Linked DNA regions of Drosophila melanogaster. The gene in region 1 interacts genetically with each later gene. Each region holds a gene or a part of one and is shown on either strand. Other genes may lie near its edges.

What was found.
Region 2: of prd1 (region 1) and unc-104, changing one enhances a phenotype caused by changing the other (phenotypic enhancement), as found in Drosophila melanogaster (one study listed by BioGRID).
Region 3: of prd1 (region 1) and Mical, changing one enhances a phenotype caused by changing the other (phenotypic enhancement), as found in Drosophila melanogaster (one study listed by BioGRID).

Annotation. Positions count from the first base shown.
Region 1 is NT_033777.3:11,780,933-11,788,582, reverse strand, and holds prd1 (pruning defect 1), read left to right. Parts: upstream 1-1,568; 5' UTR 1,569-1,960; intron 1,961-2,154; 5' UTR 2,155-2,214; coding exon 2,215-3,100; intron 3,101-3,169; coding exon 3,170-4,048; intron 4,049-4,118; coding exon 4,119-4,957; intron 4,958-5,012; coding exon 5,013-5,165; intron 5,166-5,224; coding exon 5,225-5,628; intron 5,629-5,683; coding exon 5,684-5,897; intron 5,898-5,950; coding exon 5,951-6,151; intron 6,152-6,212; coding exon 6,213-6,581; intron 6,582-6,643; coding exon 6,644-6,763; 3' UTR 6,764-7,452; downstream 7,453-7,650. Other genes in the region: HisCl1 (Histamine-gated chloride channel subunit 1), read right to left, coding at 3-137, 252-561, 635-818, 889-1,001.
Region 2 is NT_033778.4:16,762,919-16,767,590, reverse strand, and holds the start of unc-104 (uncoordinated-104), read left to right. Parts: upstream 1-1,590; 5' UTR 1,591-1,758; exon of another isoform or gene 1,759-1,976; coding exon of another isoform or gene 1,977-2,201; exon of another isoform or gene 2,202-2,230; intron 2,231-3,216; 5' UTR 3,217-3,453; intron 3,454-4,250; 5' UTR 4,251-4,293; coding exon 4,294-4,393; intron 4,394-4,457; coding exon 4,458-4,540; intron 4,541-4,598; coding exon 4,599-4,672. Other genes in the region: CG5348 (uncharacterized protein), read right to left, coding at 20-354, 412-722; CG42392 (uncharacterized protein), read left to right, coding at 1,977-2,201. UniProt on the Drosophila melanogaster protein: Required for presynaptic maturation, has a role in axonal transport of dense-core vesicles carrying synaptic vesicle precursors, components required for the morphological transformation of axonal growth cones to mature boutons.
Region 3 is NT_033777.3:10,039,814-10,044,744, forward strand, and holds the start of Mical (molecule interacting with CasL), read right to left. Parts: upstream 3,083-4,931; 5' UTR 2,979-3,082; intron 2,186-2,978; exon of another isoform or gene 2,159-2,185; intron 1-2,158. Other genes in the region: CG3909 (uncharacterized protein), read left to right, coding at 3,534-3,536, 3,590-3,881, 3,953-4,191, 4,249-4,436, 4,491-4,764; CG11722 (uncharacterized protein), read right to left, coding at 4,814-4,931. UniProt on the Drosophila melanogaster protein: Monooxygenase that promotes depolymerization of F-actin by mediating oxidation of specific methionine residues on actin.

The sequences.
Region 1 (7,650 bases):
ACCTGTTGAGTACTCTATAGTACAGTCGGTTGTGTAGTTATTTGATATGTCTAGCTGCGGCAACTCAATCTCCGTGTTAACCACAAGTGGGTCGGTCATGTTCCAAATGAAAACCAAATCTTCCACCGTATGGGATACTGCCAATCAAAACTCGGTTCAACACAGATTATTTGTAATTCGAGAAGCGGAATGGAAAGTTCCAAGCGATACGGGATTTGCAGGGTGTAGATAACCATTACATTTCCACCTACAACTCTCGATCATCATGGAGCAGATTTGCGTGTCATGCGGATAGGACTCAAACTTCATGGCGCACGACAGGACCAACGTGAGTTTGGACATATAGAGCAGCGTTTTGTCGTGGTACAGCCAGAGATAGTGATTGGGAATGCTCATCTCATGGAAGGTGACCTTTTTGGCGTTCTTAAAGAAGCAATCGGGCCGCCAAATGCTGTGCAACCAGTCGACATCCAATATGCGATACTGCTCACTCATGTTCTCAGGCAACCGCAGGCGAGGATCACGCCAGCTTTGTGCAAGGAAGATGTCCGTCACATAGGTCTAAAGGAGCATGATAAGCCAATTAGTGTTTGCTGAGTGATGAGTATTGAAAAGATGAACACATTCTACTGACCATAGACTCCTCGTTAATGGAGTCCAGGGAGAGGACCGTGACATGGAAGTAGACTACTGTGGGCTGGCCGAGGAGCTTGGGAGCCCGGTTCTTGTCGTACGTCTTTGAGGGAATGGGCAAAATGTCCGGGAGCGAAAGACTCGACTCGTAGTGGGAGACCAGCTCGGCGCTCTCCGTGTTATTTCTGCATATGTGGAACAGAACAGCCCTGTGGCGTAAATCTGATGAAACTGGGCAAACGCACTCGGACTCACCTGTAACCATGAACACAATGGCAGTGCTGGATCGATTGCTCCAGCGCGTGCAAATATATTGCCAACGCAATCAGGCACCTGAATTCTACCAATTTGCTAGTTGGGCTTTGCATTATGAACACACTACCTTCGGCTTTGATATTGTTCCTCTGGCACTCATTGCTCCGCAGTCCATGTCAATTCCCAAAGTAGCTCATCTCTGGGTGCGCTTGAGAATGAACTTGCTCGGAGGATTAGTAAGCGAGGAATTATATTTTACTCGTCGCGCAGCAAAAACCAATAAAGAAACGGCAGAGTTATCGCGACGATTGTGATGTGCTGCAAAGTGTGATAAATTGATTTCTAAGGTTTCATTCGCTTTCATTGGCATTCGCCCACACTACACTACTTTTCAAATTGACAACTGACCCCGGTTAGCGAAATGGCAAAGAGGAAATGATGTTCGCACCCACTGACAAGGGCATTAATTTAAATGTCCACTCTGTATTTGCGAATAATATCTGTGAAATATGAAAAACCGTTTGACTGCGCGAAACAAGCGAACTGGGCGCCAACTGTCGATGTCAAAAATGGGTTTATCGGCATGTTCCGGCATTTGCTTTCGAAGTACGTTTTCACAAACTGTTCTGGGTTTGCTCTTAACTTTAAATCCCAATTTTCTTGAAATGCAAATACGTGCTCTACAATATTTTAAATAAAAGCCGAATACAAACTTGTCTTAAAATTGAATTAACTCTTCAGGAACATTTTACATAATGTGTTAAATAATTGTTGAATTTTAAAATTTACAAAAATATTATTTGAAAACCGGAACTTCCCGTTGCTGTAACAGGCCGCGTTGCCAACCTCTTCTCTTATCTGGCAGCTCTGGCGCGCAATCAGCTGTTCGCGGAACTGGCAACTCTATGAGGTCAAAATATTGATTGTTTCACTTGCCAAGACGTTTTTTTTTGGCAATTCTAAAATGTACAAGTGGCGATAAATCTGCACATAAAACTCTTAAAGCAAGCGTAAAAGGAAACGTAAACCACCCAGATCGACAGTAACATGGAATCCTGCGATACAATCGCAGGTGAGTGACAGAAGCAGCGGTGTGTGAATTTAATCCCGGTGCGATTTTCAAGGGGGTGCTGGGTCAGGGGTCATTTTCCTTTGTGCACTGGCGCGATTTGCTGCGGCGCATTGTGCAACTTGTGGATATTGATTAATAGCAAGAACGCCGAGATACACAAATAATGGTTTACCGACTTTTACAATTTTCCGTAGGTTAATAGACGAAAATCACTGCGTAGATAACTCTTGACAAGTGCGAAAATCGAAACGACCATGGAATCACCTCTGTTGCCCAAGGCCAACAACAATTTGGGCATGGACAAGATGAGCTCCAGCTTGAACAGCAGCACCATGGAGGACACCACGCCCAGCGATTCGGGAGTACAACTCCTGGACTCGGAAAACAGCGATGTGATGGTGGAGTCCATTTGCTCCTACGAGGAAAACGTTAGACCGATGCCCCTCCCTTTGGTGGATCCCAACTCCAATGTGACTGCAGCGCCGGATGAGTCTATGACCATTAGCGAGTGCTCTACGTTCGACACCACGGAGAAGATTGTATACCGTCGCAAAGTGCACAAAGCTTCGTCCGCCTCCAAAACTCCCAAAAAGCGAGTGTCCTTCCACGAGGACATACTGAAGAACACTCGTACCGACAACATTCACATTGAGCATGGCTTTATCACCTACAAGAACGGACGCAAGTTGGCCTTCGCTAACTCAGCGGGCGTGGCCGGCGCTCCAGGACGATATTCCTGGTGTCCGGATCGGGAACGTCCGGAGGGACCTAATGAACTCAGTGCCGCTGGCAGGGAAGACGATGGCGAGGAGGCTACCGGTGGCGGAGGTGCCAGGCGAAAGAGACATCTGGTCTACCGAAATGCCTGCTCGGATGTGCTGGACTACGACAACATTTTTGACACGGACGAGGCGCCCGGTCTGCACTATGACACCTCAGGTGTCTTTGAGTACGGCCCTGCGACCCAAAAACAGGAAGAGCAACCCCAACTTTACAAGTGCGTGTGCAGCAGTTCCAACTCCAGTTTGGATTCCGACGAACAAGACAAAAATTCCAATGCGAATTGTAAGCAGTACGAGCAGGCTAAGAGCAGCTCATGTGATTGCATTGGTATGAGCAATGCTAACAACAATCTAATCGGTAAGCTATATAACATTCTGCTTAAATCCTTGTGATGTATATCCACATTAATCTTTATCCCACAATTAGGTGACAATTGCTACTATTCAGAGCCCAATATCGGAGATGCTGACAGTCCCAAAGTCAAGTCCGTATGGAATAAGGAGAAGAAGCCGAAATCAAGCTGCTTAAAGAAAACTAAGCTACATACAAATGTCATACTCGAGCAGGATCTCAATGGGCGGGTAAAAAAGTTTAACGTGCACGACATTAAGCACCAACTGCTCGACAACAGTAGCAAGATGATATTTGGATCGCTAAAGAGCATCTTTACCATGCCATTGCCGGAGCGCGGAGTTCCCGAGGGCTCCGAAGACCTGCAGGCGGTGGTGGAATGCGTCCCTGAGCTGGAACAGACACCAGAGCACAAATCGCGGCCGGCGGCCGAGTCACCGCCTCTTAGAGCTAAGCCATTCCTCAGCAAGAGTCTCGACGGCAGCAAGCAGGCACAACCAGTTAAGAAATTCGTGCACAACGTTGATGAGCAATTGCGGCATAAGAACGAAGACGATGGTGCCAGCTCCACGGAAGCCTCGCCGATGGAGTCAAAACAGTCACTGATGTTGCATCGCCAAGAGGAATTCGATAAGGAAACAGTGCCAATGGGCAGCGCACAGGGCGAGTTCCGCAGCAAGTTTATAATTAATTGTGAGAGCACTGTTTTCGAACACACCGGAGTATCCTACGAGACGGGGGATCTGCAATCCGAACTCTCATCCGGTATTCAGCACACCAGTGTAGCCAGTCTGCTCGAGCAAAACACTCCCATCGCAGAGCCGGCCGCTAGTCAAATTAAGAAATCATTTTTGGATGCTCCCATTGCCAAGACGTTTAGTAATTTCTTTCGAAGCTTCAAAGACAGCACACCAGTTGCAAAGGACGAGCAAGCAGTCACAGATAACTATTTTGGTGAGCAAATAATATTCATTTGAATTAATATTTTCCCCGATGACTAACACTGTTCATTATGCTTATATAGCTTCAAAAATCGCTAAGCCGCAGCAACAAGCACCAGCCGCGGGCAAACTTCAGCGCAACTTTTCCTCATCAACCATATCCGAACCTAGTTCGAACACCAACACCAGCAGCAACCATCAAATCGCAATGAATCCGCAGCTGGGCAACGCGGAGCGTCAGTCTCGACACCTTCCTTCACCGCTCAAGAAGCGTGGACAACCCTTACAGCCGCCCCGTTACTACGACCAACAGCATCCTCACCAAAGTCGGAGCCTCCACAGCCCCAGTGCCTACCTAGCCGCTGGACGCGGAGGACCAGGAGGTAGTGGTCGCGACTCAAAGAGCACTATTCTCAGCGAAGAGTTTGACGACATACTAACTATAACCACTACAGATACAACTAATGCGCGCTCAATGGACAGCGATTTGGTCATCGTAGACTACACAGATGTGGACTATGCTCACTTACTGAAGCCGCCAGCTCCGGCGGCCAAAACTTCACTTATAAATAGGTTCCTTCGTAATGTCACACAGAAGAAAATAATGGAAACCTCCATACGCAAGAACAATTTCTTTGCCGATAAATTGAGAACCGAACAGAGGCATGCCGGATCCGATCTGTATGTGAAGGGTGCTCGGCCAAAGAACTACGAGCTTATAGATGACTTAAATGCAGAGATTGCCATGGAGATTGAGATGTGTGGCACGAATTCGCCGCGACGGGAACTTGCCATTAGTTTGGATAACGATTTCCAAGGCAACTTGTCCAATTTCGAACTTGGCATTGGGGAGATCTCAATTGATGTATTCAAAGGAAAGTCCTTGTTCAATCTGAAACAATCAAATGAGCAGCTAATGAAGGTAGATTGTAATTGTGTAGCAAATAGCAATCAATTATAAAAACTTATCATTTCAGGCTTTCAAACTGTATACAGGCTACAATGTAGATGGCATCATGACACCTGTACTTGTCCTACTCACTGATAAAACTCTGTATGTGGTGAATATGGAAGGAAATAGTCTGTGTGTCAAGTTTGTTTTGGCCTACAAGGACTTGGATGTCATACTGGTAAATGTTAACGGATGACATTGCTGTGATATATTAGTTAATGCAACATCATTTTTTAGATGGGACCTTTTGGCAACACAGTTTTGCTCAGCAACAGTAATCGAGACATGCAGCAGGTCCTGCTCGCGGGTGGTCCGTATCCAGCCGGATCCCTGGTAGCCAACCTGGAGTTGTGTGCCCGACGCAGTGGATCCACTCTGCCTGCAGTTGGTCAGCTGACTCTAGAACATTTGGCTCCACTGCAGGCTTTTGTGCGTGCCAACAGCTGTGTTGGCGTAGCAGAACATTGGATGCTCTATGCAGTGGTTAATGTGCCAGCTGGAGGGTCAATGAGAGTCGAATCGCCAAGCGAACTGCTGGGACCTTCAATGAAGGGATTCCTCATGCATCGAAGACTTAGGCAGACGATCAGCACTTCAGCAGCGAACAGAATATTTTGGCAACCAGGATACTTTTTACTGAAGTTCGTAACTCTCGATATTTGAAGGAATTCAATTTAATATGTGTTCATTTCTTAGAGCTGGCGTATTGTATATGTTCAACGATTCCACCCAAAGGCTTCCCAGCTGGGCCATGGCCCTCGCCGAGTGTCAGGGCGCCCGGCGAACTGTGAAATCAGAGCGCCCCCACTGCTTCGAGATTACGCTAAAGGGCGAAGTCCTGCAAATGGCTGCGCCCGACGAGTATGTAGCCTCCGAGTGGCTCCAGGCTCTTTTGCAATCAGCCAGTGGCGTAAGTAGACAATTAATATTAGAAGATTTGTTTTAACTTTTTGTTGTGTTTAGCTTGTGGTTCAAGAGGAGAAGCACAAAACCCTTGGATGCACGTTGATCGTCACGGATAACCATTTAATAACCCTGCGTGAAGACTTTTCGGCTCCTCTACGAAAAATAAGCCAGCAGGCGGATAACAATGCAGCCGTTCAGGGAAATAAAGAAACCATGCTTGAGGAGGATATGCTCAGTGTTTTTGAAACCAGTAGCTTAGTAAGTGCGCTTATTGTATTAGCAAATCAAACTTCGTAATCATTTGGACTTAAAATTTTAGATGGGTTCCACCATTAGTACTCCTACCCGTGGCACTCAACATTCATATTCCTCGTTAAGCTCTACGCCTACTAAGCAAACAAACGAAGATGCAGCTCCGAAAGAAACTGTAGCTTCGCCGGAAAAATCACAAAGAATGACCAGTGTTTACGGAAAGAACTCCGGTTTAGCCATACTAACTTGTGCGGACATCAAAGAGATGACTGGCATTAAGATAACCTCGCGGAGCGAGACTTGGTGGTGCATTCTGGAGTTCTCCTGCCAGGAGGCACCATTGGAAAACCAGGACGATTTGGTTATATTCTTTGCCAGCAGCATGGAAATGCAACGTTTCCTGCGGTTGCTAGAGCAGCTTTGGCAGTCTAAGAATGTATGTTTCTCGTTGACTACTAAACCTTTCCTTAGCAATAACGAAATATTCTAATTTTACAGAACGATCTATTTCCAATAACCATACTAGACGACGGTGACTCTCTGGCCGAGCAATATAATAAACTTTATATGGACACAAATAGGGCCTGGGAGCCTTTGCTATCAGCTGCGCTGGGTTAACGTGGCTCTGGCCATATATACTCCATTTACAAATAGAAAATTATATTTCCATATACATTACTCAAGCGTTAAATATTCTATCCTGAATACTCAAATAGCTAAAGAACAAAAAGTATTGATATTTATATAGTCTGTATGTATTATGTATTATGATTTTGTAATGCGTGCCTCCGCTTGACTCATTCATTCGTTTGCGCTTAGTAACATCTCATTTGAATAATTTTTGTGATATTAAACTTAAAGTCGCTGATCTTTGGTATGCTCTTTTGTAGGATATTTAGTTTCTATTGATTTTCTACATTCGTTATTTCTTACCTTTTATAAATACATTGTGTACAAATATTGCACAGATAATAAGAAACAAAATATTATACATAATCTAACTTATACGAATATTGGACATGTAATCAATCGGTAATGTTATGTTTTGGGGGTGCTCTTTTGGTCCAAGGATCATATCCATATGATATACGACAAACAATATGTGGCTATTTATAAAATAAACAAAACAAACATTTATAAATGTGTATTAGGAAAAGTGTGCATGGTGGACTTAATCTTATTTTGCAATGCTGTGCCTCTCCTTTTCAATTAGCATAGATTAAATTCCCCTCCCAACGCCCGACATTTCGCTGTAAGCCTTTCAGCCCACTAAAAGCTCATGATAATTAATAAAACCAATAAACGCCATTACAAAACGAATTTTTATTTATTCTGAGCTCGCTGATGGTCCTTGACATTTTCAATAATTGCAAGTGGTGAAAGGGTTTACAGAGGAAAGGGTTTTCTGGGCTCTAAGTCGGGTTTATGCTGTGTGGGACCCTATATTCCGAATGAGTGTGGGGGAGATGGAGTGGGGGTCTGGAGAGGATGCTGAATAAGGAAAC
Region 2 (4,672 bases), on another chromosome or scaffold:
CTTGGGCTATTATGCTTACTGAAAAATTTAAATTCATAGCCCAATGCGAAATGGTTTGTCGTGTATGCAAAGTAATCCATCAATAAAGTCGCTAAGAGAAGAAATAAAATGTCCCGGACAGTTTCGTAGGAATTCATCTTGAAGGGCGAAATGTAGAATATTAGGCCACCGGAAATCGTAATCACAAACAGGGCTGACGACAAGTTATTGGCAAACACAGGGACATGTCGTTCAACGCTGGCCAAGTTGGCGAAAAAATCGGCAGAAGTGTTTCCAAATGCCATCAGGGTAACTCCCGCCAAATGCTCGTTCATATGAAGGAATCGGGATACGGCCTTCAGAGCAGGACTATAGCTGCAAAAGCAAGCATTTCAAGCTCAATTTTAATCTTCGCTTTAGTTAGCTACTTACTAAACATTGATTGTGTAAATTAGTAGAACCAATATCTGAAAGCAAAACGCCACGAACAAGGCGATGAAGATCATTTCCTGGAACTGATTGATACACTTCAGATCGCAGGCCAAGAGTCTCATGTATGGAATTACATTTGTGCTCGAATTGCAGTCCTCCGCTTTCTGTACGAACTCACATCGCTCCTCGAACGGAAAGTTGTTGGCCGCAAAACAGCTAACCGTTTTCCAAAAATTGTCGAATTCCGCATCCAACGCGTTTTTCACGGTAAAAACATCGGATTTGGTTGTTTTTGTGTCGATGGCCGGCATTTTAGTTTTACTTGTTTGTAGTCCGAAATCTTGGCGTTGAATTGGGTAAAAGTGAAACTAGTTCTGGGATTACTTTGATTTCCTAAGAGCTATCAGAAAAAACTAATTCAACAATTAATTCCGGCTACAATCGCTGTTTTCGATGATAATACTTGTATTTTTTTTTTTGCACTTTAAACCACTTGTTAAGCTTGTAAACTTCATAATTAAAAAAAAGTTAAATGTAATGATGAAAGATTCCCCACAGATGAGGACGTCCAGCTTCCAGCACATTCTTTTACCAAGCCCCATTCTTTAACATTTCCCTACCAAAGCCAAAACCTCCAACTTTTTACTGCCCTCCCAGCCTCGCCGTCAGATTTCAATGTCAATGTAATTACGCCGTAGAATATATACATAGTATACAAATACCTACTACCGATTACCGACTACCGCGTAACATAAAAAGCCAAAGCTTGTCCTGCGTCTCGGTGCGATGGGAAATCAATAAAAAGAATTCACTTTACGTCATCAGCTGGTGGATAAAGCCGTCGCTATAGCCACTGTGCCGGCAGCGATATGTGAAATGGCTCATAATAAGATCAAACATCGGGGAAAATTGGGGGTCTGCCACAGTGGCCGTCCGAAAAAGTGGACACCTTGCGCTAATAATGAAATTCCTTGTGCCCGCGGATGACAGACGGTCGTTTTGTTATTGCGGACCTTTTACGCTATGTGTATGAAATTTATAAAAAAAAAAATTTTCGCATACCCATATATACCATACAGCCCACACGGTTGCTGTTCTTCCAGTTTTGTACCCCGATTGCGGCGCATGCGTCCTGCTGGTGGGCTGGTCGTCGTATCCTCTGAACTTTCCCAGAACTGCTCACTGTGTCGTCTACCCTTAACGGGTGCAGTTCGTTCTGGTCTCGAGAGTCGTGCGCGAATTTCATTTCCTAAGGCCTTCCGCTGACTGGCCATCGATTTTGTGCAGAAAAGCTCAGAGTTTTCATCAGCGAAAAGTTGCCCAACCGTTTAAACAAAGCGCAGCCAAGTAAAGCAACTAACAAGTTTCAAATTAAAACAATTCGATACAGTGGCAAACTAAAACTTTATCAATTATTTGTCCCCCAAAAAAAGGAGTGAAAATTTTTCGCTGTTATACAGAAAGACAGACCCCTACACATATATACACATATACGAGAGCCTACATATATATATAATATATATTCAAAAATCCTTTAGCCAAGTCAAGAAGAAGAAACTACGCGAATGTGCGCTTTTGGTTACCTATTGTTTTTCGCCCTATTGTTAACAACAATTCTGGTGCTGTCCATTATATTCGCCACTACCTCCAAGCGATCCATGTTGGATAGCTTTGTACTAGTATTCAATTACACACAAGAACACCAGCCAGACCAAGAAATGCAGCAACAACAACAACCAACGGACTATCAGCAACAACCACAAATGTTCCTAAAACAGAAAATATTTTGAGTTCCATGGGTTAATGAGTATAATGCCCCGAAAAATAATAAAACGAAACAGAAAATCAATTGGTAAATGCTTCAAAATATATTTGCAAAATTTCATCAATTCGCTCGACCGAACATTTCAAAATTCTCGATAAAACATAGCCCATAATTACGTTTTACATAATTTTGATTCGCTAATTTTTGCCCCCCCCCATCATCTAGTGTACAGTGGCCTCCAGAGTAGTGTGCATAGTGTGTGTAGAGTGTAGAGATTTCCTGGCTCGGTGTCCATGGCAAAGGCAACTTGAAAATTTATTAATAAAGGTCAAGAAGAACGCAAGCGAACGCAAGGATATTACCCACGAATGAGACGGGGCGCGCATATGAGTGTGGTGAGAGGTCCTGCATACGGTATTAAGTGCCCGCCGTGTTGCCCCGCAGGAAGCCATAAAAAATATGACGCAGAAGGCAACAAAAGCGTGGTATTGCAAAGGACCTCGAGTGCTTAGTTCGTTTCTCAAGTGCAAATGAGGGTTGACTGTGTGACGAATAAATTTTCAAGAGCCTGGCCAGGTAAAACGAGCTAAGGACGTTGAGAAGTGGACATTCTCGAAAAGGATATAGCCTGATTTTAATTTCTTATAGTCGTTCTTTTATCGTTTCGTGCGCCTTCAACCAGCGTCAGTCTGCATATCATACAAAAAATAAATAAAATACATTACACAAATATTTAGCATATCCTATCCCACTTTCGCTCCCACACTCTCTATATATACTCTCGCCTTTCTCTGTCTTCTCTCCACATTTCTCCTGTCTCGCGCTTCTGCGCAAATCTTCCTGTGGAGACTTTTTACTGCAGGCTGTTGCACATTTGCTTTGACAGTTTGTTCGGAAAATTGAAAGAACAAAAAAAAAACATAAACAAAAGTATTTTGGTCAGGTAAACAAAGAGAGAGAGAGAAAGGACAGGAAAGAGAGAGCAATTCTCACAGCTGCGCATTGGAATGGCTTCTAAACTTGGTTTCACAATATTTCAGGACGCTAGTGTACGCGAGTGAAAGAATTTCTCAGTTGGTCAAGTGAATTTACCACTAGAAAGTTAATAAATAAAGCAAAGAGTGACAAACGAAAAAAAAAACAAATTTTACCTTATCAAACATTAACTAAAAATCAAATCACACATAAGTGCAATCGATTCCTTACAACTTATGCTATAATGAGCTTTAAGGATATAGCCGCCCAATAAGCCAGCAATCGTTTGGCCTAAACTAAAGGTAATTTAATCTCCATAAATGGTAGTTATTTGTTTTAACAAAGTTAAGAAATATATTGAAAATACGCGTTATGCATCGCCTTTAAAGGGTCCTTTCTTTCTTTTGTGGGGTGTGAGTACTTTTCTTTATTCTGCCTCTTGTATTTGCTCGATGACTCATTCGACTATTGGCCGACACTCGTCTGCGCTTTTATTGGAAGCATTTGTGGATTGTGGAATTTTTCCCCCTGCTTCAAGTGTGTGAGTGTGTGTGCGTGTGTGTGAGTCAGAGGGTAAAAACTAGAGGGAAAACTATTTGCATTAAAATCCATTACGATAAGTGATAAAACTACTGAAAAACAAACCTAAAATCTAACAAAATTATAAAGAATTTTTAACTTTCTTTAACTGTATCACTTCTTATTAAAAAAAAAGAGGAGAAAGAGAACTCACCTAGAATGTTTCGAAAGCAATAAATCTTCAATCCTTAACGTCTATTGTTTTATAAGAAATTTGTATTATAAAATAGTTGGCAATGTACCCGGCTTAGTCTTCGACGTATTGCACATATAGGACAGCAAATAATAAATTCTTAGCCCCACCCCTGGCTTCAATTCAAATTTCCCTGGCGAGTTGCCGGGGGTATGACTCATAGCTTCGAGCTGCCACAGAAACAAATCGTGGACGAGTGTATAACCATAAAGTTGGGGCAATTATAAAATGTCAGTGCTGGGCAGTGGTAGTCTCTGGCCAATTTGCAGCCCACTCGAATGACTCGAATGTCTATAAAGTATTCCCGTTCCTCTATTTCCACTCCAGTTAACCGGAAACCAGGACACCCACAGAGAGGAAGAAGGACAAGATGTCGTCGGTTAAGGTGGCGGTGCGAGTGCGCCCCTTCAACTCGCGCGAAATAGCCAGGGAGTCGAAATGCATCATCGAGATGGCAGGAGCCACAACGGGTGAGAATCCCATAAACACTCTAGATTTCTCTTAATTAAATACTTCAATCTTATGTCCTGACAGCCATCACCAATCCAAAGGTGCCGCCCAACACAAGCGATTCAGTAAAGCGCTTCAACTTTGATTACTCCTACTGGTCACATGATGTAAGTTTTATTTCGAGTCCAAGAAAAAATTTTACTTAAATTTATATTCGCATCACAGCACCACGATGCCGATTTCTCCACACAATCGATGGTGTACAAGGACATTGGCGAGGAGATGTTACAGCACTCCTT
Region 3 (4,931 bases), 1.7 Mb from region 1:
CAACTTGAAGAAAAAACTTCAAATACATAGAAGTACGAGTGTAAAAGATACTTGTCCTTGACCGTAAGTTTATCTAATTCGGCTGATATTTTATCACTGTCACAACGCAAAACATTGAACGATATCAATTTCCCATTTATGGGTTAATTGGGGGAAGAAAGGCAGATACGGGGATTCTACTCGAGTCGGGTTTGGAGCAATGTTTAATGGCTTTTCAAGTGCTTCTCAAAATGAGGAACCGAAGACCCTGCCTTCCACTTGCAGTTGCAAACGCATTGCGGTCATAAAGAGTGCACTTTATGGCATTCCACAAACAAAAGTCAAAGGTTTAAGGGGGCACAAAAATGGGAGTGTTTTACAGGAGTGACAGCAGTTAAAATATGTGAAAGTAATCTATACTTTCTAATTGGAACTATTCCTTACTTTAAGTTCATGATAGATTGGCTAATTGCAGAATATTTAAATAAATTTAGCACACAGATACATATTATTTATATTTTTCTGATCCCACATATTTAGTAAAAGGGGGAAAAAAAAAAACAACAAAAACGAGGCCCCAATTAGGGCCCAAATTAGGTGTTTTTCTCGAGGCTGAGGCTTAAAATAACATTCCAACCTTCGAAAGTGATAAAAGAGCCCAGCGTTGATTATTATAAATAGCAATGCTCCACCTATTATCTTATCTCTGGATTTAAATACACTTTTGGCCATGCCAAAGATCGGACCAGAAATATTTATTCAGTCAAGCAAAAAGTTTGGCTCTTCCACTGGAATCCAAATGGTGAGTACTTTCCCATTGTTCTTGTGCTTTTGCCAGTGCAATGTCATGACTTGACGCCATCACATTTTCATTTTCTGGGCTGCCTTGATTGGTGTAAAGAAAATTGCACCGACATCAGAACGCGATCTTAAAAGTCAATGCTCCTATATATTGCTCTTGTGACTGGGGGGTTCAACGAATGGCGATTATTCCAGCTATATTCTTATCAGAGGATGTTCGTGATTGCGACTCTCTTGGTAATTTCCATAGAGTTCAACCCGTACAATGGGTTTACAAATAGCACTATATATCATTTTATTCTTATTTTATCTTCATGTACTAAGCACTGTATATAATCTCAAAACAATCATTTGATTATCTACTTTGATAGATATTTCATGTAATTTACTGAATTTCTTTAAAATAATGTCATGGCTAATATGTCAAATCTTTTCGCTTACTTGACAATAATGTTCCCTGCTTTCTTGTTTGACTTTCTTTTGTTTTTGGAAAACTTCGGCACTTGTCATTGTCGGCTGCTGCCACGCCCTCCGTCACGCCCCTTACAATGATGTCACATTGCACAGACTCAAATTGCTCCAATTTCGCCCCCATTGCTTTTGACTATGTCACGCTTTTCCCAGCGAGCGCTTTTCCACACTTGACTTCGCATTTCCCCGCGATCTTGGAACCGCGGTATTCCCACCTCAACTAATAACTTTGTTGGTTTTCCATCCATTTTCCGAGTGCATTGCGCCTGGGCTTTGGCTTTTTCCGCAGTTTGCCACTGTTTCATTTTCTTTTTGCATGCCCTGGATTTCCATTTTGTCGTACTTGGTTTTTGCGCTGGTTTTTCTCGCCGATTGTGAAAAGTTGTGCACTAATGGCAGCTGTGAAATGCATTTATGTTTATGGTCTAGTTTTTCCATTCTTATTATTATTTTTTTTTTTTTTGACGCCTTTTGAGCACCTCTTAAGGGCAAACATTTATTCTTATCCTCCAGTCACATTAGTGCGAAGGCTAAGAGCAACCGTGATGGGTTTGCTTTGGAATTACGAATGGAAGTGGAGCAAAGCTGTGGGATTTAGAGTCATTTAACTTTACGGATCTTTAAGCGTCACTACTACTACCTAACTACCTTTCTTTCTATAGGACCATTTCATACCCTAGAAGACATCGTTTGCCTGTAGTATTGTTAAAATAAACGAATAACTAACTTTCATATACCAAATCTCAAGTAAAGAATGTTTTATGAAATGAATACACCTCTCTTAAGATATATGAATCCCAACATGTGTGAGAAAATTAACATAAAATACCGATAAGATTACATAAACATGCAAATCTTCCACTTCATCTTATAATATAGCATTATTGATCCCCGGCTGGCGACTCACCTTGATAATTTACAAATTCAGTTGGAACTGTTTGATTTATTCGAAAGGGTTTGCATATATCATTTTGAAAACGGCAAATTGCGATTATAATCGAAACAAAAGTGAGCAGAGGAAGAGAAGAAGAATAAGAGGAATGGCGATATTAGGGAGATAAAGTTGCACGCGAAAACCGGTTGCCGTTATTGTTTACACCAAATCGGAAACGAAGTTGTGGGGGCAGGCGCGAATATGAATGTTGTACGGAGGGGAAGAAGTGGAAACTGGGCGGAAAACGGAGAACGGGGAACGGGAAAGTGGGAATCAATAAAACAAACACACCACGAAAAACACATGGAAAGTGCAGCAAAACTATATGCCTTTCATTTCGGTTTAGTGCACAAATCGGCGAGTCCTGCTGCCACAAGAATGAATCATTCGAATCTTTTCGATTTTGTCGAAAGATATGATATGTGAGATAAATAATATGCTGATGCACAACCACACACACACTCGCACTCACGCTCACGCACACCCGCCCCCACACACACGAACGAACGAGGCTTCACTGTTTATGTTTATTAATATATTCCAGACACGCGGATCCATAGAAGAAAATCATACATATTCGAATTCACGGCGGCGACGACAGCAAAATGAAAAAAAATCGAAAACGAACCGAAAACTGAAAAGCAGAACACACGCGTTGGTCCTATTCGTTCCTTTGTTTTTGATATCGTATCGCGAGGGGCTAAGAACTATAACTATATCCGCATTATATAACCGCACTGGTAGATCCGGGCATGGCTGCACCGTGGGGCACGTAATTGCACCCGTCACTTACACTTTTCCTCGCCAGTCGCTTGGATCTCGCGTCCGAGTCGTTTGGGGATTTGTTTTTTAAAACGCGACGTTCGTTCCTCGGTTCTCGACGGCTATAAACAGTGTGGCCGCGCCGGGAGTGCAACTATAAGCCGATGGTGTGACCATGGCGGGAAAGTGGTATTATGCCGTGTGCCATATGGGCAAATATACCAAAACAATAAATAGCAATTCAAATAATTTAATATATAACATGTTTACTTAAAAACTAAGCTTTTTACCTAAATAAGTATAATAAAGATATAATAAAGTAAAATATTATTTTGTTATATATAATATTACCTGTGAAAAAATTTTAAAAACGTCAATTTGTTTTATACTTCTTTATTTCTTTCATTTATATAAAGAATTCCATGTTTAATTTATTCACATTGAAACATATTCAGCATAACAGTTTTGACCCACTGTAAACCTCCCTTTTCAATACTAATTCTAACGTCAACCATTGTTATCGATAACAGCTAATTTGCTGATCGCTCTCGTTCGCATAAAATAAACACTTTTCCGGCATTTTAAAATGGTAAGTAGATATTTAACGAACTGTGCCTTTTATACATCCCTTTTTTCCGCTAGTTTTCTGTCCTTCATAAAGAGGAAAATGCGCACGACAGTCAGCTATGGGCGTGCACCTGGGGACGCGACACTGCGGCCTCAGATCCGGATGACGCGGTCGTGGAGCCCGAGGAGAATCCCTTTGATTTCGATAAGAAGGAGGCCCGCCCGAAGGATTTCTTGGTCACCGGCGGACTGGATGACTTGGTAAAGGTGTGGGACTTGCAGGAGGACAACACCCTAAAGTTGCGCCACAAACTAAAAGGACATGCCCTGGGAGTTGTTTCTGTGGCCGTCAGTTCCGATGGACAGAGTAGGTTGAAAGATTCTGTACTTGGGAGATAGAGAAATGGACATCAATTAATGGTGCCGCCTTCCTTCCAGCCATTGCCAGTAGTTCTCTGGACTCCACCATGTGTTTGTGGGATGCCCGTTCGGGCGACAAGAAACACCTACTTAGCTTTGGGCCTGTTGATCTCTGGACGGTGCAATTTTCACCCTGCAACAAATATGTGATATCCGGACTGAACGACGGCAAAATCTCCATGTACAGTGTGGAAACCGGAAAGGCAGAGCAGACATTGGATGCCCAAAATGGGAAATACACGCTTAGCATTGCCTACGTAAGCTTTATCTGGTAAATAACCCATTTTGAGAATCCTATAGCTGTATTATTCTAGAGTCCCGATGGCAAGTACATTGCCAGTGGAGCCATCGATGGTATCATTACCATTTTCGATGTGGCCGCGGGCAAGGTAGTGCAAACATTGGAAGGACACGCGATGCCAGTGCGTAGCCTTTGCTTTTCTCCGAACTCGCAGCTGCTGCTCACTGCCTCAGATGATGGTCACATGAAGCTTTATGATGTGTAAGTGGCTTAACACCTATGACATTTTCAGGCACTACTATCTCCTCGTTTTAGAACCCACTCCGACGTTGTGGGCACCCTATCTGGGCACGCATCTTGGGTGCTGTGCGTGGCATTCTCCGAGGACGGCAAACACTTTGCCAGCTCCTCCAGTGATAACAGCGTGAAAATATGGGACACCTCGGAACGCAAGTGCCTGCACACGTTCGCCGAGCACACAGATCAGGTGTGGGGCGTCCGATATAGCCCCGGAAACGACAAGGTGGCCTCTGCTTCTGAGGACAAGTCCCTGAACATATACTACTGTCCGCCCAATGCCATTGTTTGATTTCATACAATAGAGCGTAGGTTTAAAACAAAGAACAAGAATGATTTATTTACGGATTACCCTCCGAGCTCGATTTAACCCGCAGAAGGGGCTGCGTGGCTTGAGTTAGCATCGTGTCTTTGTACTTCTGGTCGGGTATGTACATATTAAAAGTTTTAAAGTAGTGC